Linked DNA regions of Caenorhabditis elegans. The protein of the gene in region 1 interacts with the protein of each later gene in a pairwise test. Each region holds a gene or a part of one and is shown in the gene's direction. Other genes may lie near its edges. The genes, in order: R11F4.2 and cyd-1.

Region 1 (10,158 bases):
GACATCAATCACAAACTCAAGATTTGTTATTTGTAGAAATGCTTGTTTTAAGCAATCTTCGGAAAAGTTTTCAAAATAAAAATATAAAATAGTTTTGCAAAATGTTGATTTCCATCAGTATCTCTAATCATTTTTGTATGTGAGTAAAAATTATTACTATGCGGAGAGGTACTGTAGGGATACTGTAGGAGCACAATTTGATGTTTTGTGTTGTGAACTCAAAAACCTCAAACATTTTCTATATTCCTTGCCGATCCATAAATCCTTGTTTTATTTTTCTTGCAACTTTCAAAATTCTTCAAATTTTTACAACTTTTTCTTTCATTTTTCCAAAACTCCAAACCCGGTTGCTCGGCTACTAAAAGTAAGAAACTTTTTCTTGAGAGCCAAAAAGTTCTGCTTTTTTTCCCACAAACGTTAATATTCGTGATATCGTGAGAAATGGTGGTTTGGGGGTTGCGGCTTCGTTACAAAACGTATTCTCGATCCTAGCCAGATGACGTTTTGATATTCTTTTAGAGCATTTTCTGGAGCTTCACGGTAAATTTTTTATTGCGAAATTTCAGAATGTTCCGGAACTAAAGAAATGTGTATACCCTGAAAGATAGAAAATTTTCCATCTAACAGTTATTCCTTTAACCCCTCGTCACTTTCTCGAAATATTCTACCCTATGAAGACAAACACCATATGTCATAAACAAATGTCTGGCCAACTCTGTCATCAATAATTCACCTATTTTTGGCCATAAAATTGGTGAATTTAGTTGTTTAATCTCGCGTTTTGAGGTGGACAGCTCAAAAGTACTTGTTGTTTCAAAACTAGTGCAATTTTTAAAATTGGCTGGAACAGGCACACGCACCACACACGCACCGCACGGTAAATTTTTAAAAATTATCGATTTTATTAATTGGAAGACCGAGACCTTGAATACTTTTCCTGTAAATTTGAATTGAAATAAGGTCTATTTTTATATCTAATTTCATGGATTATTTCTCTCCTCTTTTTCTATTTGAAAATAGAAGACAGGACAATAGAGAAGCCAATGTGCACTTCTTTTTTTGGGGTCAGGTCTAAATTTTGTTATGTCTAGACCCCCCACTCCCGAAAAAGCCAAAAAGAAAACGGGAAAATTGATAATTTGTGACACAAAGAGCTATTTTACGGGGCGGAGAGGTCATCCTACTTCCCTTGACGGGAGAGTTATGCACACATTTTACAAGGAAGTTAGATGAAGAAGTGCGAGAGGAGTACACTGATGGATTCCCTTGATTCTCACTAATAATTTACATATTAAGTTTGAGGAAGATGACGGTGACCCCTGATTTGATGTCATTTCATCAGACACATAGCTCAATTCTGCGTTGCCAAAGGTCAGACAGGAACGAAAATACTTGCCTGACCAATGCCTACCTACGTCTAAATCACAAATTACCACTTTTCACGTCTTAATTGGCTTTAAGTAAAAAAGTAAATTTTGGCTGTAGGCAGGCGCGTAGGCTTGTAGTCAACCTATTGTCAATTCAAGTTTCTTACTTCCAGTTCCTTCAAACTTGAAAACAATCTTTAATTTTGTTGTTCCTTTTTATTTTTCAATTTCCTGTTCAGTTTTCTTATTTTCCTGTGTTTTTCAATTTTTCATTTTTCCAAATTAAAAATAAGATCATGTTCAAAAACCTTTCTGATTTTGAATGTAAACTTTTACTTCTCAAAACTTCCTTATTCCTTTTCGGAAAGTAGGTAGGTAGGTATGTAAAAACAAAGCGATAGATAGACTGGGTAGGTAGGCACAAAGGTAGGCAGGTATAAAAGTAGGCATAGATTTTGGTAGGCAAGTACATAGGCAGTTATCTAGGTAGGCAGTAGTGTAGGTAAGCATGGTTTTCGGTAGGTAGGTACGTAGGCTGACTGATATAAAGGTGGGCAATGGTGCAACTTAGCAGGGATGTAGGCAAAAATGTAGGTAGGCAGAGCTGAAAATAGGAAAAATCACGTTAGAATTCAAAAAATAAGCGGTAGGCAGGCACGTAGGCAGGTACCTAGAAAGTAATTCATTTCAAAGATCATAGATATTTAAACTACATTTACGATCTAAAACATCTGTGAAAATCCACGTGTTGCGTAGAGCCTGAAAAGGAAAAGGTTTTCAGCCGTTTGTAGATCACTGGCACTGATCACCCGCCAATTTTGACGTCCCCCCCCCCCCCCTGCCACGTCACCTCCTCTCTACTTTTTCGACGTGTGTGTGCTCGGCGAGCTCTCGCCTTTCATCTTCATCTGATTCAATTCCTCCATTCTATTCTGCAAAGGAGAAGATGCCTCGGCGGCGGAGCCAACCCCAACTCATCCGTGAGCTCCGCCCCAAAAAAAGAGCAGGCAGTGCTCTCCAACACACATGAATATATGAAACATTTCATCTCATTTCGAATTCTTTGGATCTGCTCTTTCTTCTGTTGTTGTGTCTGTGTGTGTATGTGTATGTCATTGTTGGGTCCTTGTATGTCTTCAAATTCCGAACAAATTTTTGTTTGAAAACCCGCAATTTCCCTGTCTGGCGGTGTGCTATTTATTCACTCAGTGTTTTTTGTTCGAATTTCCAGCCAATTTTCAATTTCAAAAGCGCCAAATTTTCGGGAAAACCTGAAAATAATTACCTTGCAAATATCCCCACACCCCCACCGACACCCACCCACTTTATTTTGAAAAACATGTTCTGAGATTTTTTGAAAAGTTGAGAAAAACACGACAATTTTCATTTCCAACTTCCTTGCTCTTTGCTACGAGGTGTTTGATTTTTTCTCAAAATGCTTACGATGAGGCTTTGGCTTAGGCTTAGACTTAGGTTTAGACTGAGGCTTAAACTTAGGCTGAGACTGAGGTTTAGGCTTAGGCTTAGGCTGAGGCTTGGATTTAAGTTTGGGCTTAGGCTTATGCTTAGGCTCAGGCTCAGGCTTAGGCTTAGACTTAGACTTAGTCTTAGGCTTAGGCTTAGGCTTAAGCTTAGGCATAGGCTTAGGCTTAGACATAGGCGTAGACTTAAGCTTAGGCTTAGGCTTTGGCTTAGGTTTAGGCTAGGCTTATGCTCACAGGGTTTAGCCTGCAGGGACTTTAAAAACGAATATTAATAAACCTACATTGAAGTTTTCAAAAAGGAGCAAAACAATTCTGTTGCCGAATTGCCGAGTGTTCCGGCTTTTTGGATAGTAATATTCTATGCGTCATCCGGTTTCCCCCAGATTTCTGAGCTTTTCATTCTATTCTTTTAAGAGCGGTTTTTCTCTCACGCCATCACCCAACAAAAAGAGCACCCACTCATCTATTGCAACTTTTCTTCCCCGATTTTGTTCCATTTTCTTACTTTTTTTGCTACGAAAAGCTCAACCCGGGTGGTCCTTTTTGACCTACCTACCAATTTCAAAGGAAATCAAATTGATGTTTGATTCTAGGAAAAGAGATGTCTCTATCTATCTCTTATCCTTTTTTCTCATTTTTTTCTCTATGCAAATTTTAATGGAAACTACTTAGGATGTGGACGGACCTAAAATTGATTAGAATTGGCTTCACTGGGTGCATAACCCCTCAATTTTGAGCTGTAAAAAAGTTATTTTGAAAGAAAAAAATGTTATAATTTTTTTGATCGGTGTTTTACAAATGAAATTGCAGCTTTTTGCAAAAAATAAAAATTTAAAATTTATTCTTTTCAAGTAGATATACCGATGTTTTAAATATGAAAAACAAGGGAAGACGCAGACAGCGAGAGCGTCTGTATCTCTGACCTCTGCCCTCTCCCTCTCCCTTTCTCTTACTCCCTCATTTTCAAATTAACGAAACTCATAGTCAGCGAATATTTGAGCAAGTTGAAAATTTCCAACTGCAAAACTGTTAAAAATTCGATTTTCTATCTATCTTGTAATTAATCTCATCTCTATTGACAGCCCTTAACTCAAAAATTCAAGTTTTCAGCAAAATGAACATCACAGAAACAGCAGCAATGAGCGAGGCGTGTATGGTGGAGAGCCTGGATCGACGATGGTACCTGGTAGCAGTTTGTGGAACATCATTATCGGTTTTATCAATTGTTTCAAATATGTTGATATCAAAAGTGAGTGTTTTTCATAGTTTTGATTTTAATTGGAAAATGCTTAATTCAGCTTAATTTGACGAAAATTTTTGTCTTTTAAAATTGATTTTATTTTCGAAAAACTTAAAATTTTGCTTTTCCACTAAAAAAAGTGTGGTCTTTTAAAAATAATTTCATTCAAGATTTGTCGGAAAAAAGACATAAGAAAACGTATTAGAAATATTCAAAAATTCTTTTAAAAAAAGTTGAAAAATTGAGAGAGTTTAAAACAACTTTGAGAGTTATAAACAAAATTGCCAAAAACCCATGTTCTTCACACGAAATTTCAAATGTTTTGGGTAAATCGTATGGCGACCAATGAACGATGAGGTAGGGGAGGGGCCAGCGCCTGTGATTGGTCCAATTGTTAGCCTGACCAATCAGCAAGGCGATCGGGTCTGCAATAAGAAAACATCTTTTTAATTTCCAGGTCCTACTATCCTCGAAGCACACGCACTTCTACTTCCTAGCCCTACTCGCCTTATCCGACTGCTTCTTATCTCTAAACTACGGTCCCGTGATAGCAATGGACATAATCAAAGATCGTGTGAAACTGCGTTGGCTCTCAAATCTTTATATTCAATACGTGGGACCCTTACTTGCTCTCTCACAAACCTCAATGACTTTCTCATGCTACCTGATCATCCTGGCGACCATCGAGCGATATCTGATCACACTACGCGCAAAATGCCTCGGCACATTTCGACAATGCCGGGGACTCTCTGCACTTTGTATGTTCATTTTGGCTCTGTTGCTCAGGGCGCCCATCATTTTCGAAATGCAAATAGAACAGAATCCCGATTGTATTGGCGAGATTAGCGAGTACTATTTGAACTTGTCGCCGATTGTGAACACGTTTTGGTATGGAACTGTGTACCGGTTTTATGTCAGGTAGGTGCAGGGATTTGTTGAAAAATTGGAGAAATTACAGAGAGAAATGAACTGAAAATTTTTGAAATTAAAAAAAAATTGTTTGTCCGATATTTTTGAATCTAAAATTTATTTTAAACTAAAATTATCAACAAAAAATAGAAAAAAAAATATAATTTCAATTTTTTAATTGCATATTTGACCTAATTTTGAATAATTAGACTTAAAAAAGTACTTGAAATTTCAAAAGGAATTTATCGAAATTTCAGAAAATGGAAAACTCTGGAACATTTTTTTTATAACAAAGTATTGTTTTTAACCAAAAGTTTTTCAAAACTAGGTCGCCTACCTACTTGCCTGCCTACCGCCTATTTTTCTGTACTTTTGGCAATAGGCATGAGTGTAGGCACAAGGCAGATGTATAAACCATGAAATCAGACCTACAACTTGCTGAAAATAAAAAAATTTAAAGTTTTCCGTATCCTTTTTCTGCTCAATTTTGTCTCTATTCAAGCATCAAAAAAGTTATATTAAAACAATTATTTAAAAAAATAAAATACCAAGCCAAAAAAATCTTTCAGAAACATCATGACAGTCCTGGTACCCTTCGTTCTGCTGGCCATTCTTAATTACAAAGTCGTGAAAATTCTTCGAATGCAGCAGAGATCGGCGCAAATGTTCCGTTTTCTATCAAGTGATCATAAGACGAAAATCCGATCGGCAACAATTTTGATGGTATGTATCGTTTTCTCGTATCTTCTCGCGAATATTCTAAACGTCGGTGTCACACTGTGGGAGTACGTGGCATTTCAATCAACACAAACCGGAGACGCTTATGCGGTATGTTGAAAAGTTGCAAACAGCAAACTACAAACTACAATTCCCAATTTCAGTTCTACGAAACTTGCACCGATGTGACGTCAGTACTCTACATTCTGGTGTGTGCCACGCGTCTTTTTGTATATTATTTGTTCAATCAGGTAGGTTTTTTTTTTTTTAATTTTATCTGAAAAATTCTTTAAAAAATGCCTGATTTCTTGGATTCCCGCCAAAATTTTCTGATTTTTTTCCGAGTTTTAGAAATTCCAATTTCATAAATTTCACAGCAAAAATTATGCATCTAAACTTCTCTCAGAACCTTTTCCAATTCTCATAAAATTTAACAAAAAAACCAAAGATTCCAGGAAATCCGCGAAGCCATCAAACCTCTCGTCTGCCACAGCACGAGTGCTCCTCGCAAGCAGGACTATGTTACAGTAACCCGAAGCTTGTAAGTTTGTCTAAATCAATTTTTCGTAAGCAGAAATCTGAAACCTATCCATCACCCTGTCACTGAGTCCCGTTCTCTCTTTCAGACAATCCATGCCGTTGGCGGTAGTGGGCGCCCTAACATTCCTCGGTCCAAGACAGACCGGCATCGTGAGAAATCAGCAAAAGTAGGGGAAAATTAAAGTAGTTGAACTTCTGCTATCTATTTCGCATGTCTACTGTATCTCAAACTTCTATCTCCCAGACTCTCTTTGCTCTCCTCCTAATAACTTTCCGTCACAAGCTTACTTCTAGGCGCACACACTTTTACCAATCCAGTAAGATGTCGGCCGCAGCCCATTGACTGCAGCCGGCACTTCATGGGCCAGGCTGGCGTATGCAGGACCGGGTTGGCACGTGAGGTGTCCGCAGCAGATTGCAGCCGACATTTCACAGGCCAGCAAAGCTAGCGTTCGCCTAGCTAGCCAAGCTTACGAGGTGTCGGCTGCCGTCTCGTTTCCGCGGCCGACACTTTACGAGCCACCAGCTATCATCCTACCATTTTATCTTCCAGTTAACATATACTTCTTTCAGCGACTCCTCCCGCCAAATCGGAACCGAAATCGATGCTGTAGCAATTGCCATTGCTCGAAGGCTGCTCTCGAGTGAGCTCGTCTTCGGAGGTGGAGGCACCAAAGAGGCCAACGACTCATACGTCATCTCAAACCACCACGCGACCACATCTGGAGACGAGGAAACCGACGACGACGACGACGATGAAGAGATTCCATATATGGTTTGAGAAGAAGCGGCTCCATATATTTGCACATTCTCCTCACCCACCTCATTATTTTTTTCCTTTCTGGATTGTATACTTTACTTTTTCTTCTCCTCTCTCATCATACATATGACCAATATCACGGGGTAAAATAGCGAAAATAAATTGGTATGTTTATTCTGAATGGGGTTTTGCACAAAAACTATCAGATTCACATCTCATTAAAAACCGGATGCTCTTTCATGTCTTACTTGGTGAAAACTTCGGGAGACAGACACTGGGGGTTTCTTCAAAACCTGCTAAAATTAAAATTGAAGTTTTGATCTAGAAAAATTTGATCTACAAGTAAGGGGGGACCCTAATTTCAGCAAGCTTACTGCATTAGATTTTTCAAATTGAACAAGCCCGGTAGATGTCGGCCGCTGGAAAAATTAAAATTTTGTAAGACAGGAGCGCTTTCTTGTCAGTTCGGAGTGACCATCTGAGCTTTTTTCGAATTAACCAAAGCAGCTGATATATTGAAGATTTTAGTTCAAGCAGCCGAAACTTTAAAGGTGTGTACTATTCTCTGCAACCGACGTTTCACAAGCACTTCTTTCAACAAGCAACATTTTACAGGTACTGTGCTTAGCGGCCGAGGTTTCACAGGTAATTATCAAAACAGCTAAAATTGTAAGGCGCATGCGTCTCCATGCGTCTCTCCATTTACAGGCCCAATTTCGAGCAGCCGACATTTTACAGGCACTACTTTTACCAGCCGACATTTAACAGGACTTCAAATTTTTTTCTATTCAAATTTTGCATTTCAAATTTTCAAACTTCAAATTTTGCATTTTTCATCGATTTCAGGTGGTTTCAGAGCCTTACTTAAAACAAAAGTTCAACATTTTATTATGTTTAATAGTTTCACTGATTTCCACTAAAGCTCCCACAAAACTCCTTCTAACCAGGACTTTTCCACGTGTATTTTGCTGTTTTTGTTCATTGTTCACCGCTCGATTTCACGTGTGGACGGGCACAGTTCACGTGAAATGATGTCCCATTCTACCGTACTCTTTGTGATAATGGCTTATCATTTGTAGAAGCGGAATGTGAAGAAGACTGATGAATGATAGATTGAAACTTTCAAAAATCAAATTCGTAGGTTTTATGAATTTTTTTTGGGTTTTTTTTGTTCGACAAGAAAAAGGCAGACATTTTTTTGCAGAAAAAAGGGTGTAAAGTCTGAAAAAAAAGCGATCGATTCAAAAAGTGTTCAAAAATCATACAAAAATTGCTTTCGCTGCGGGATCCATTTTCGTTTAAAGACCCTTTTTGATAGGATCAATCCTTGATTTGACGTCTGTTCAATGATAACTTTGTGAATCCGAGGTCAGACCGATTCTCGCTTCGGGACCCTTTCTGATTCAAACGAATATCTCAAGATGTTCAAAAGATTTTCTTTATTTTCCTAAACATTTTGTGTTTTTCACAAGTCACGTCATTTCATTGACGTGGCTCCCCTCGAAGTTCAAATGCTCAACAAGAATCTTTTCTCAAAATCTTCCTCCAACAGCTGTACTCGAAGGGCCCCGTATCATTTATCACTTCCCCCCCCCCCCCCTTAACTCTCTTTCCCCTGTCTCGTATTCTTCAAAGATGATAAAGACAAAAAGTGAATCGTTCGATAAAGATAGAGAGTATTGAACACTTTCAAAAGTGTCATTAGTGACAATTGTTATTGCTTTACTCCAGTAGAATAACCTGTTGGAATCGGGAAAAATGCAAAGTTTTCAGGTACTTTTTAGACGAAAAAGTGCTGAGATTTGAGATGGGAAACAACAATTGGAAATAGGAGAAAATAGAGAAGATCAATTTTCAGCTACCAAAATATAAATGGTTTTTAAATTTTAAAGCAATTTCAACCAGGGGTGGGCGGCAAACGATTTTCATCGACAAATCGATAAATCAAAAAATTTTCGGAAATGGAAATTCCCGACAAATCGGAAAACCGGCAATTTGCTAATCGCTGAATTTGCCGGAAAACCGCAATTACCGAAAATTTACGGCAAATAACTTTTTTTTTTGGAAACTTCAGAATTTCAATTTTAATCGGCAAAATTCTATCCTAACGTTCCTAAATCTATTTTTAAAAATATTTAGAAAAAAAATGGGAAAAATTTCAAAAAGGCAGAGATTTAAAAATTTCCGTCTTTTAAAAAATCTTGCGGCCAATTGATGTTCGGCAAGCGGCAAATCGGCAAGCTGCCGAAAAACAACATTACCGGCAAATCGGCAATCCGGCAAACTTCACGGCAAACGTCTTGATTTCAACAACCTATAACTCAAAAACAAGACACTTTACAGGCAACCTTACAACTAATAAAATGTTGCCCAAAACGTATTCTTACTTTTTGTAATTGACAATTGTCCATTGTAGAAAATACTGAAATTCTACTTTTCTTGTCCTTCTTGGAATATTGATTCCACTGAACCATTTGAAGAAAACTGAAAACTCAACTTTTTTCTTTCAATTTCTCCAGTTTTCCTATCCCTCCCTTTCCATCTAAAAATAAAATTTCACGATAAAAGTTGATCGATGTGTAGCGTGGCAATTGGAAAAACTGACAAAAAAAAAAAAATTTCTAGGATAAAGTAGATCTAAAAAACAGTGAGACAGTTTTCAGAAAGTTTGATCTACGATAAACGCGGGAAATCTCTGTTTTGAATTGTGTGACGTCACAACCGTTCAAATTCAATTTTTTTCAATGTTTACTATGTATTGAAGTGAAAACACTGAAAAGGGTTTTTTGTGGAATTGCAGCTTAACATACCTGCCCGCCTACCTGCCTGACTTTGGAACAAATTTATCTCTGGAAAAATTAAGGCGACTGACATCTAGCGGGTTGGGTTTTGTCGATCGATATTTAAAGCAAAATCAAGCTTCATAATCCATAAAGAAAACTACAAACTTTGGCTGGAAATATTTGCACTTACACTGAAACTGGGCTTGTTTGGGATTGAAACCCCACATTTTCTGTAATTTTTTCTGCAAAATCTAACTTTAGAGACAAGCCTGAAGCCTAAAACCCCTTGTAAAGCTGAAAAAAAAAACCGAAACCATAACCATTTCCGGTTTCAAAAACCAATAACGTCACATACAAG
Region 2 (11,725 bases), 8.9 Mb from region 1:
TCTCACATATGATCACTGGCGCCGCCAATAACTCCGGACGGCGGAAATTCCGCGTAGTTACCCTTGCTGGCGCCTACAGACGTCTCTCAACTAATTACCATTGCAAAAGATAAACATGTTCATCATTTCCAGAGATAACCATCACCATCACTGTATGTGTATGTCCTCACACAGTCAACTCCTCACAGCAAAAAAGATTGGAATCTTGAAAATCGGTGAGTATCTAGTCTCGAGGTGTCAATCACCGGACACACTAATTGCCAAGGATTTCCCCATAGTTTTCTACACTTTTTTCTTTGTTTTCAAAAAACAATCCTCTATACATATTTGCACGCTATACAATTATGGTATGTTTATTGTGCCATTTTGGAGCCCAAAATGTCACAAGGGCGCCCAGCTTGACCTATCGGTTTGTAAACTGATAAGAATTGTGTTGAGATTGTGATTGAGAGAGTTGACCAATGCAATCTTACGATTGTTTGAGTGCGGAGGCAGGAGAAAAAATTTGTGGGAAAGTGGGGAAAGGTCGTGAGAATAAATAACTGTACATTTATTGAACAAAAAACTATTCAAATTTCTGAAAAACTGTCCATGATACCTTGATAACGTTGAAAAAAAAGAGCAGCCGACAAAAACCTGTTTTTGCAAAGTCTCATTTGTCTACGGCAACTCTCCCAATCATGCACCGTGATGGGAATACTGTAAGACTACGCGTGGTGCCAGGCTGCCCCATAACGGTTTGATCTACAAAAAATGCGCGAATTTTTTGCCCAAAAAAAAGTGACGTCAGAACGTTCTTAACCATGCAAAATCAGTTAAGAACTCTGCGTCTCTTCTCCCGCATTTTTTGTAGATCTACGTGTGGTTTAGTTGGTACCAGGATTTCCACAAGGGCCCGAGTTACGCCTCGGAGGGTGGAATTTCTAGTTGCTCCAACACGCTCCATCTCCAAATGCTTCCGTTCACCCCCACCCCCCCCCCCCCCACTATTTCCCTTATCACTAGTGATCCTTATCAATTTCCATTCAATCATAATTTCAAAGCCTCGATTATCATCATCAACCACCTCGTGGTCTCCTCGTATTCTCTTTGAACTCGGCGGTCGACCCCAGTGACGTGTTTTTTCAGTACCCCAGTCGGTACCGGCACAAGGTTGACACGAGAAAGTTTGCCCTTTTTGGAACAAAAAACTTCTCTGGCTTTTTTTCACTTTTTCTCACCTATTCTGACATCACTCATATAAAAGTTGAAAAAAACGACGAAGAACAGAGGAGAAGACGGCAAACATTACCGGTGATAACGTTCCCTTTTGTGCACTTTTTTAGCCGACTGACTGGTATGTATGAACTGGCTAAAAGTGCAGGCCTGATCTCATCGAGCTGTGGAATGGGATTTGAATTTGCCTGGCACGAACCAATTGAGCAGCTTATTGAGATGACATTGAGATGACAGGAGCACCATTTCCGATAAAGACCATAGTCCTGAATAGCTAAATAATTAAATATTTTGGAAATTAGATCAATTTTCAGGTAAATAGTTGATACCGTAACTTTAAGAATTCGATTTCAAAAACTTTGAATATTTTTCAAATTTCAAAGTTTCCGGACTATATTGAAAACTAATTGGGCAAAAATTCAGAAAGGTTAGAAACTTGAACATTTTAGAAGTATGAAAGCTGGGGTTCAGCGCAGGCACAAACATGCCTACCCGCCTGACTGCGGTCTAACCTATATTGGAGGATGCCTAGGCCTATTTTACCATTGATAATTTTTTTCAAAGGCCTACGGGCCTTGTAAGCCTTGTAGACACGTAGGTTTTTTTGAATTGAAAATTGAAAAACAATACACAACAAATTGAAAACTAGATCTTGAAATTTAAAGAAATACTGGTGAAAAGATCTCCTGGCTTTATTTTTAAAAAACAACGAATTAGGCAACATTTCTGAAAATTTGGAAACTTGAACACCTTAGAAAAATCAAACGCCTACCTGCAGGTCTAACTCATATTGGAGGAGACCTAGGCCTGGTTTACAATTGCAATTTTCGTAAGCCTACAGGCCACCTTCTAGGCAGGTAGGCTATTTTGAACTAACAAATGGAAATCTGTTAGTTGAAAGTTAATAGGGATTAAATTTTTGGAATACATTCTTCTTGAAATAAAATTATATAAGAGATTCTAGATTTCAATACAAACTCCAAAAGTAAACGCTTTCTGAAGTTTTTTTTTTTTAATTTCAGGCATCAGGCATCATTTCAGGCAAAATTGTGGCAAAATTTTTGATTTTAGCTGAAAATGAGCCCGCCATCACTTTTTTTGAGAAATTAACAAAACGTCTCATAACAAAATTCGGCAGTTTTGGCTCATTTTGGGTCTAAAAAGCAAAGTTTTAGATTTCGGTACTCCACCGCAAGGCGAGTGGCGCGACAACAAGATCCCCTCAAACAATTTCAAAAAAAAAAGTTTCAAAAAGTCTAGAGCATCATTATTTAAACCTGAATTTAATTCTACCTGGCACGACAAATCATCATCTCCGAGGGGCGCCGAAAACCGAACGACCTTCCATCATCATCACCTCCGTTCATCATTTCAGTCATACGCGTAGGTAAATGTGATTTTGTTTCTTCCAATTCAATCACGGAGGTCGAACAACACAAGAGGCCACACGCGATCCCCAGATTCGGGTGACAAATGTTGCGTAATTTACATGGAAAAAGTGCATGAGAGGGGGGGTCCGACCTCCCAATGCGCGAACGATTCTTTGTCTCTGAATTTTTTTCGGTTTTTTTTCTAAAAGGCATCGCTTCTTTTTTATCTAATTATTTGCCGTGTCGAAACACAATCACCACACAAAAAGGAAAAGCCATCTGTCAGCAGTTGGGGCACGATTCCCGCATAGTAGGAACGATGCGCACAGGCAGATAATATTAATGAGAGGAGGAGACGTTTGAATTCCCCTACAGAAGAATGACAGTTGGTTTGGCACATTGTTGAGTCCAAAAGTGGGTGCCATAATGAGCTCAAGAAGCCGAATAATGGAGAGACAGATGTTTTCGGAGAGATTTTAAAGGAGATCAAACAGTACTTTCCGGTCCAAAAATTGACTGGTAACAGTTGGCTTAAGAGCTTTTTGACCTGGCCGCAAATTTTATAGTTTTTAGTTTGGAAGTTTTGAAGTTTTGAAATTCAATAGAATTTGAAATTCGACTTTCTTACAGTTTGATTGAAAAAAAATGCGGGAATTTTATGTCCAAAAAATGTGACGATGCAAAATCTGTTGAGAATGCGTCTCAACTCTCTCATTTTTTTTCTAGATCTACGTAGATCAAACCGAAATGGGACACTCTGACACTAAATCCTTTGTTCTTTCAAGTTGAAAAAGTTTGATCTACTCAAAAATGAAGGACTCCGGTAGATCAAAAAGTGGTGGAAAAATTTTAGTGGAAATCGATATTTAATGTGTCTATTTTACTATTACATATTTTTCTAGCTATCTTTTCAATTTTTTGGTTTGCAACGGTTTGTTATGCGAGTTCAAATTTTTCCAAAAATTTTATTTTAGGCAGAAAAACAGTTTCTTGCCTTGCACTTGTACCTACGTCTTCTTTGATATGCCTGCCTTGTGCCTACGCCTTCTTTATGCCTATACTTGTTTTGGGTCGAAACTTACGTCTACCTTGCCTGTATATCTGGCAAAAATATGGGCCTACCTATCCATAAAACATTGATTTTTGCTAGAAGAATCCCATGCAAACCAAAATTATTTTGATATTCAAACTTCCCCGTTCACCTTTTTCATAATTACCGCAACCCAAATATCAGATAATAACTCTTAAATAATTATCCTATCACGCAATGCTCATAATTTCAACATGCCCCCAACTACGCAATAGTACACACACATATTGTAATATGGATATTGTTGCATACATATCTAGATATATATGTATATACTCAATTCACCTACGTCATCTTGAGCACCTGTTGCTCGACCTGCTGTCGGCTCGTGGGTGGCCTGTAGATCCGCCAAATCGTTTCTACCACCCTCCCGTTGTTTTCTATTTGTCCTACTGGAATTGACCTCTTCTTACGCAATGTGAGTTCTCCCGCTCTACGTCATCAGAGCACGCCAATTGCCCCATTCAACAACTACACACACCTATCTCAATCAGATCTTTCACACTCTCTTGTTCAAATATACGACTGGAAAGGTCACACTTTTCACTTGTCCATCATCAGATTAGTGTCGCATTAGAGGGGGAGATGGTGCGCGAAAACTGATAGCTGAGCCCTGCTATGATAGTCCCTTATTTGCCTGTGGGAATGTTAGGGGAGTCAAATGAAATATAAGAAGATGTTTGGAAGAAGAAGAAGAAGGTCAGCCAGATATGGGCAGCTGGCCGAACACCTGGTAGTACGTGTGGGATGGCGCATCCCAATCTCTTTTACTACCATAATTTTCTCAACTTTCACTTTTTCTACTTTTCTAAGATTACTTGAGTGTTAACCTTCCATATCCACCTCTCCCCGTTCCCTGCTCCGTCTGATTTGTTGCTTGTCCGGTACAATTTATGAGTTTGGGAACCCACCACTGTGTTCAATGGGTGGCTCCCAAAACAATAGGCCAAATGTCGTGTGTGTGGTTTAGTGTTTGGATGAACTTTTTAAAGGTGGTGGGGGAGAAATAAAGATACAAAAAAATATATATATATGCTGCCATGGGAGACAAATTTTTGAATTTGAAGGGTAGCGTAGATGTTTAGAAAATGTCAAAAATTTCAGTCCAAGACGAACTTCAAAATTATAGTAGGTCAAAAAATCACTTTTTGACTGTAAAAAAAATTACAAAAGACATTTTAGCCTTGACAATAAATAACATAATTTCTTATTATTTTTCCAGTAAAAGAGCCCCCGTAAGAAAAAATCCTATATATTAACATTAATAGGCGCTTTCAGGTGTAGCGTAGATGTTTAGAAAAGGCCCGAATTTCACATAGATTTTTGGACACTTTAAAGGAGATTTGGCCCTTAATATAGTTTTGGTAGTCTAAAACTACCTAATATATGATAAAACAGTCTGGATTTATTTTAAGATTTTTCAAAATTTTCAGTCTAAATTTTGGCAAAAAAAAACCAAATATATATGGACTTTTTCAGTAATTTCGAGCATTTCTACAAGTTTTCATCCCTATAATATATGAATACAAAAAATTAAAGCCTGTCAAAAAACTGTGAAAACCCACTTTTTAACTGTAAAAAAATTATAAAGGGTATTTTAACACTGACGATAACTAACGTCATTTCTAAATACTTTTCTAGTAAAAGAGCATCATAAGAAAAAATCCAAAATGCTCAAAGTATTTTAGGTGATTTTAGAGCATATCACAAAACTTGAAGTTTCTGCTGTATACTTGGAAAGGCTAGAAGATGCGTAATTTTCTCTGTTTTTCAAAATTTGATTTTTGTTGATTTTTGGAAAGTTAGAAGCCTATTTAGATAACTATCAAAATTTTATTGATTTTTAAATTTCAATTAGTTTTAACACTTTTTTTTTAAACATATTACCCAAAAATGTTAATCATTCTGAACGTTTTTATTTTTTTTTGCCTTATTGACACCCTTTACCTGTCTAGACAGGAAAAGCTGCTAGTACCCTCCGTGTCTCCCGTTAACCTTGGAACTTTGCCAAACCGGAAGAGTGTAGTGATTTTGACACCTTTCTTTGTCAAGGACGTAATTATCGATCCGCAGTTTGTTTTTTTTTCGTGGTCCATAACTGTGCACCAATCAATATTTTAACACCTTATGACCCCCGCCAACCTCTTCCCAATATTGCAATTTGCCGACTGCTGACCCAGTATCCCGCTGTCTTTGGGTCATCTGCCAGCTCGTCGTCGTTCAGTCAGCAACATCAGCGCAGAAGTATTTTTCTTCATTCTCAAAAATCCCAAAACCCCCCGTCTTCATCATCATCACCTTCATTCCTTCATGTGCCTGGGGGAGACGGCTGGCCCTGGGGGGAGGTGGGGGAGAGGGTGCGCAAAAACTGGGCGGAGTCCCTGGCAGTCACCCGCCTCCGGTCACTCGACTGTCATTGCGAGTCAAGGTGCCGTACCTTGACTTACTTTTTTTTCTTGCTTTCTCTCTCCACTTGACAATTTTCTCAAATTCACTAACTTTTTGAGATTTAATAATAAGCATTAATAATAAATTCCTGAAGTTCCATTTCCAGATGGACTTTGAGTCGTCGTCGGCTGGTCCGAGCACATCTTACGCAGAGGAGCCATGCACATTATCGATGCTTCCTCAAGTTTCAGCAGTTTTGTCGGAAACATCTATTACCGAGGTAACATTTTTTTTTCTGGTGTTTAAGTTGTGTGTGTGTCGCAGTAGGAGACTTGTCCTTCTCTATTTTTTTTTGGTAGATTTTTTTCGGCAAAATTTTGACACCTTTTTCGTCGCCCACTCTTTTTCTCTCCCTCACGCTTAATTTCTAATTTTCCTCCAAGTGAAAAAAGATAAGAATCTTCTTTTCGAAAATCTCGACCACTTCATCTATTCAACATGTATGTACATAATTATTGATTTTCAATTTTAAATTTTAAAGTACAATTTTAAAATACAATTTTCAATTTTCCAGTCAAATGTGAGCTGTCAATTACACCCATCTCGATCGGCTGCTCTGAACGATAATGTCCGAACACTGATTTATAACCGTACGGATCCTCATATTCAACTCGACATGCGAGCCTTCTATAACTGTATGGAGTACGAGGAGGCGCTACAGCCCAACTATCACTACTTCACCGGCGTTCAGGAGAACATCACGCCGTTTCATCGAGAGCAGGCGATCGATTGGATTTACGACGTGGCAAAGGAGGAGAATTGTGATGGCGACGTCTTCTTGTTGGCTGTTTCGCTGATCGATAGGTTTATGTCGGTGCAGAATATTTTGAAGCATGATATTCAGGTGAGTATATTGAGTATGTTTGGAATTTCACCTCTAGTGTTAGAAGTACATAAACTAATCCTCCTGCCTCTCCTCCCATCATATCAACATTTATGAAATCAGACCCGTTCAGATGATCGCCGGAGTCGCGCTGTTTATCGCCAGTAAACTGAAGGCCCCACATCCGATGACCGCGTCGAAGATCGCCTACTACTCGGATAACAGTTGCCCCATCGATATGATTCTTCAGTGGGAGCTGCTCATTGTGACGACACTTCAATGGGAGACCGAGTCGCCGACGGCGTTCTCCTTCTTCGACTTTCTCGCCTCAAGAATCCCACAGATTCACAACATGAGGGGCGACTTTCAGACAGTTGTGCAGAAGTGCCAAAAAAGTGAGTTTTCATTTCTTTCATTCCACCTAGTCCAGTAGTTTTTTTTTTGTTCCTTTCACTCCCCCCCCCCCCCCCTGGTGCCCTGGCGCGTGTCATTTTTCAATCGGAAGGGTGTTCTTTCTCCCGTCTAATCTCTATAAAATCGAAGTCGTTTTTTGGATGATGTTGTGTGTGTGTGCGTCGCGTGTCCCCCATTCTTTTGTACTTATTGCCGGCGGTGGGCCACCCATACAGGGTTCCCGGGGCGAAAAAAGGAAACAGAGACAAGTTTTTTTGATGGGTGGTCGTAGGACTGTGCGGTAGGGTCGGGCGAGCGACACCGTTGCATTTACATAATGTGGTGGAAGGGACAAGAAAAATGAGATTTACTAGGATATTTTTGGCCGGGATGAGGGGAGAAAAATAGCTTCTAGAAAAGAAGGAAGAAGCCTGTTTTTTTTGCACTTTCCATATTGATTCATCATTACCAGCCTAATTTAGCCTAATCCACCTCCACCTAAGCCAAATCAAACAAACAAGTTTCTTCTTTCCAGCACAGCAGGTGGGCTAGTGGGCCAGTCTTTGTCTAATGAGCTTAAGTCCTATCTCCCCAAGGGAAAGTGTCCTACCTATCGAAAAAAGTTCATCTTAGACCGAATTGAATTGAGGAAAATTTCGGAATTAGCCTATGCAAACAGTCCAAAAGTTGTTAGTTGTTAGTTTTTGCGTACGGCTCATTGGTCATTTGACACGCGCTGACCTAGGTTTTAGCGCCTTTGTTAAGGCTTCCCACCCCCCAACTACAGATATAAGATACCAAAAAGTAAGTGAGTCAGTACCAGGTACACAAAATTTTGTGCGTCCTCTTTGTTCTCAAGCCGTCCTCCTCTGTGGTGACACACTGAGACGCTAAAAAATGACTGTGTGTGTGCGCGTGTGTGTGTGTGGGGTAGTACAATTTTGCAATTACTCTTAAGAACATCTGGGTGAATATCTGAATTAGAAGAATATGGCTGTAAATAGTGACATGACAGCCCAGGTGGCCCGGGTTCAATTATAGATAGCTATCTCCCGGGCGGCATGGCTTGGGGGGTGAAATTAGTGGGCTCTTAGGGAAACCGTTTAACTGTTGCGGATCACTTGACACCCGAAACAATTAGAAGGCGACTCCCCTTAAACACATGTCGCTTTAATCCCGGCGGTTGAAGTGACTTCAAAGAATAGGCTCTACAGTAGGCAATACCTTTTTCAAAATGCCCTTGTACCTATTGCCCAATGTTTATTTGAACAAAACTTCCGATCGGCATCGCCTTTGGCAACTTGATAGCGTGATGGAATGCTCTGATCGATCATCTCGCAGTGTTTGCCCCCCCCCCCCCCCCCCCCATATCCTTCTGCCTTAATGGATGTTCAGTTATCCAAACGGATTAGGAAAGTTGTGTCCACCTGGCGCGTGCCTACCCGTTGATTTATACATTTGGAAGATTTGGGCTAGATTATGAAAGAATACCGTGTGTGTGTGTTTGTAGGTATGTATGTATGGGGGTGAAAAGGAGTGAAATCTGCGCTTCTTGATTTACGATGACGAGCCCCCGTGATGTTGTGCCTGTTGTTGCGCGGCCCTCACACACAAAGAAAAGTTATGTCGCAATCTGCTCTTCCAAGACACCACCGATGACAAGGGATGTATATCATCTACATTAATGTTATGACAGTATGGGAAGGGTCATCTCTCTGGGGCAACTGATGACATTTGAATTTGAAATTTGAATGGAGATCATCGTATAATAATGAATGTTTCATCAGCCAAGGCCTAATTGATTGACAGTGCCCCCGTAGTGGAATTTGAAAAGGAGCAGCTGAAGAAGGAGTCATCAATCGTTGGACATCCGTTTGACCGATATATAAATTCATTCGCGGTCGATTACTTTTTTATTGGGATTACGGAAGCGTGTGCCATCCTCATTGAGGAGGATGAGATGCTTCCCAGATTTTCAAATATCTTTACATCATCACCATCATCATCATCGTCTACCAGCTGTCATTTCGGGCGGTCTATTCAATTATGCAACATGACCGCGCGATCCTACACATACTGTCAACAGGTGCTCGAGGCTTAAAAGGAGCATAGCCTAATTGCGCATGTTTGAATGGGCTTCTGGTGATTTTTTTGACGCAAGGCATTGTGAAGAACGTGTGATGTCACAAGCGGTTTGGAGAGTCGGTTTTGAAAAAGGAGTGTGAAATTACATGAAAATAGCACGACGACCTTCCTCTACAGTAGGCAAAGTTTATGTTAGCACAAGATAAGCGTTTTACCTCTCTCTCTCTCTCGGCAGCCAGCCCGTTTCAATTTCAAAATTTTTGGCGCGTCAGACCCCTGGAAGATATGTATGAAGGTGTGAAAACGCGCACTTTGAGGCAGAGAGAGTTCCACTGATGTTTCAGACGCCCAGACACTTAGAGACTTGTTCGTAGATAATCATCTATGTCCTCCACAGCCACCCTCTTCGATTTTTCTTAATGATTGAAATCGAAACCTTGAGGCGCGAGCGAGCGAATGATTGGCAGAGGGAACAGTGATGAATGGGCCAAGGGGGGAGAAAAGATTGAACTTAAATTTTGGAATTTTGGAATTTTAATGATAAAATCAATAATATGAATATTGGTTTTTCAGTGCACAAACTTGCCACCTTATTCCCATCCATGCAATGTGCAATTGGCCTCTACTACGTATCGAATCTCCCAACACAGAATAAGGAGCTGGCAGTAAAGATCAAGGATCTCTTGGCAAACATGTTCCAGTTGGAAGTGGTTAGTGAAAAAAAAATCAGCACTTATAATTTCTTATCTAAACCTTTTCCAGAACCTTCTCGACTCGTACATCCCGATGGTGCAGCGTTGCATGAGCACAACGCCAATCTACACATCAGAAGATGCTGAGAAGACGGAACCGACACCATCCGCGCCGGCCTCCACTCAAGAGCCAGAGGCCTTCCAAGAGCTCAAGGAGCTCAAGGAAGAACCCCTCCCAACTCCACCACCAGAGGAACCTGCCTTCCAGAAGCTTGTGCTCCTCGAGCCGATCCCCCTCTCCGAGCAAACTCCATCAACTCCCCTCAACGACTCGGGCTTCTCGTCTGATGTCTCCAGCCCCGCATCCTCAGAGAAGAAGCGTCGTCGGAGCACAGACTGGTTTGAGGAGGACTCGACGCCGCCGAAGATCTTCAAGACTTTATGAACATTTGTTACCCATTATTTTATGCATTGTTTAGCTTCTATGTCGATTCGAAACCAAATCCCAAAAAATCTCAAAACACATCCAGTCTTCCATTTTCTATGTAGCTTTTGCATTATTTCCTAAACTTTAATTTTTAAACCGGTGTTCCCAACAAATCTTCCAGTTTATTATTCTTATTATTCTGAAAAAAATAATATATATATATATTAAAACATTTATTCTAAGTTATTTCCACCTCCCTCCCCCTCTCCGAGAGTTCGGATGTGCTCGAACCTTTTGTTGGATTTTCCTATGAAATTCCAACTGCTTCCTGGTTCTTGTCACATCCACGACTTCGTTTGTGATTAGTCAAATCCTGCCCAAGCCTCCTCCCAAAAATTAATCATTTCTATACTAGAATTCCCACTTGCTTCTTTCATCTTTTTTCCAGATCCCTCTTGCTCAATTCGCTTCCTACACCCAATTCTGATGACCATTGAAATTACTTGTATTGTACAAAAATTCTCGCTGTTTCGATGATTACTTTTTTCTATTTGTGAAATAATAAAGATTCCCCACAACCACCAAACATATATTTCACTATTTACCCGGAATCACCATATGACGTTGTTTGACCCTTCGAGGTTGTGACGTCACACAGACCCCCACTTCTAGAGTTGCGTCAAACTGCAAGCTCGTGAAGCGAGCACTTATTCAAATCTTGACCATAAGCGCAACATACATTATTAGCATCTGTTGATGACGTTGAGCTTGCGCTAGTAGAAGATCAGAGATATGTGAAGCAGGTGGACGGGCCCCTTTTTTTATAAAACAGTGCAAAAAAATTTGTTTCTTGTGACGAAATTGAATTTTTTCCAGCAAATCGGCAATTTCTGTAATAATAGACAAAAAGCAAAGTTATCTAAAATCTCCAAATTGTGCTTGAAAATCGGAAAACCGCTTAGTTTTCATCTGGAACTTGTCTAGAACTGGAGAAACACGTGGCGTCAGTGTGTCCCATGTCGGTTTGATCTACGTAATTGCGGGAATTTAGACGTAGACTTCTGAACTGGATTTGCATGGCTAAGAGCGTGATGACGTCACATTTTTCTGGGTTAAAAATTCCCGCATTTTTGTAGATCAAAACGTGATGGGACAGCCTGGAGAAAGTTTTTCTTACAAGCC

Evidence for each region.
Region 2: the proteins of R11F4.2 (region 1) and cyd-1 interact in a two-hybrid assay, tested with the Caenorhabditis elegans proteins (one large-scale study listed by BioGRID).

The regions. Positions count from the first base shown.
Region 1 is NC_003280.10:4,079,104-4,089,261, forward strand, and holds R11F4.2 (G-protein coupled receptors family 1 profile domain-containing protein), read left to right. Parts: upstream 1-3,950; 5' UTR 3,951-3,989; coding exon 3,990-4,100; intron 4,101-4,548; coding exon 4,549-5,009; intron 5,010-5,569; coding exon 5,570-5,828; intron 5,829-5,881; coding exon 5,882-5,968; intron 5,969-6,172; coding exon 6,173-6,258; coding exon of another isoform or gene 6,259-6,262; exon of another isoform or gene 6,263-6,285; intron 6,286-6,830; coding exon 6,831-7,038; 3' UTR 7,039-7,194; downstream 7,195-10,158.
Region 2 is NC_003280.10:12,981,994-12,993,718, forward strand, and holds cyd-1 (G1/S-specific cyclin-D), read left to right. Parts: upstream 1-6,229; coding exon 6,230-6,343; intron 6,344-6,637; coding exon 6,638-6,967; intron 6,968-7,079; coding exon 7,080-7,341; intron 7,342-7,472; exon of another isoform or gene 7,473-7,656; intron 7,657-9,997; coding exon 9,998-10,134; intron 10,135-10,186; coding exon 10,187-10,561; 3' UTR 10,562-11,124; downstream 11,125-11,725. UniProt on the Caenorhabditis elegans protein: In association with cdk-4, regulates the progression through the G1 phase of the cell cycle during postembryonic development. Regulates proliferation of the coelomocyte lineage and intestinal cells during late embryogenesis.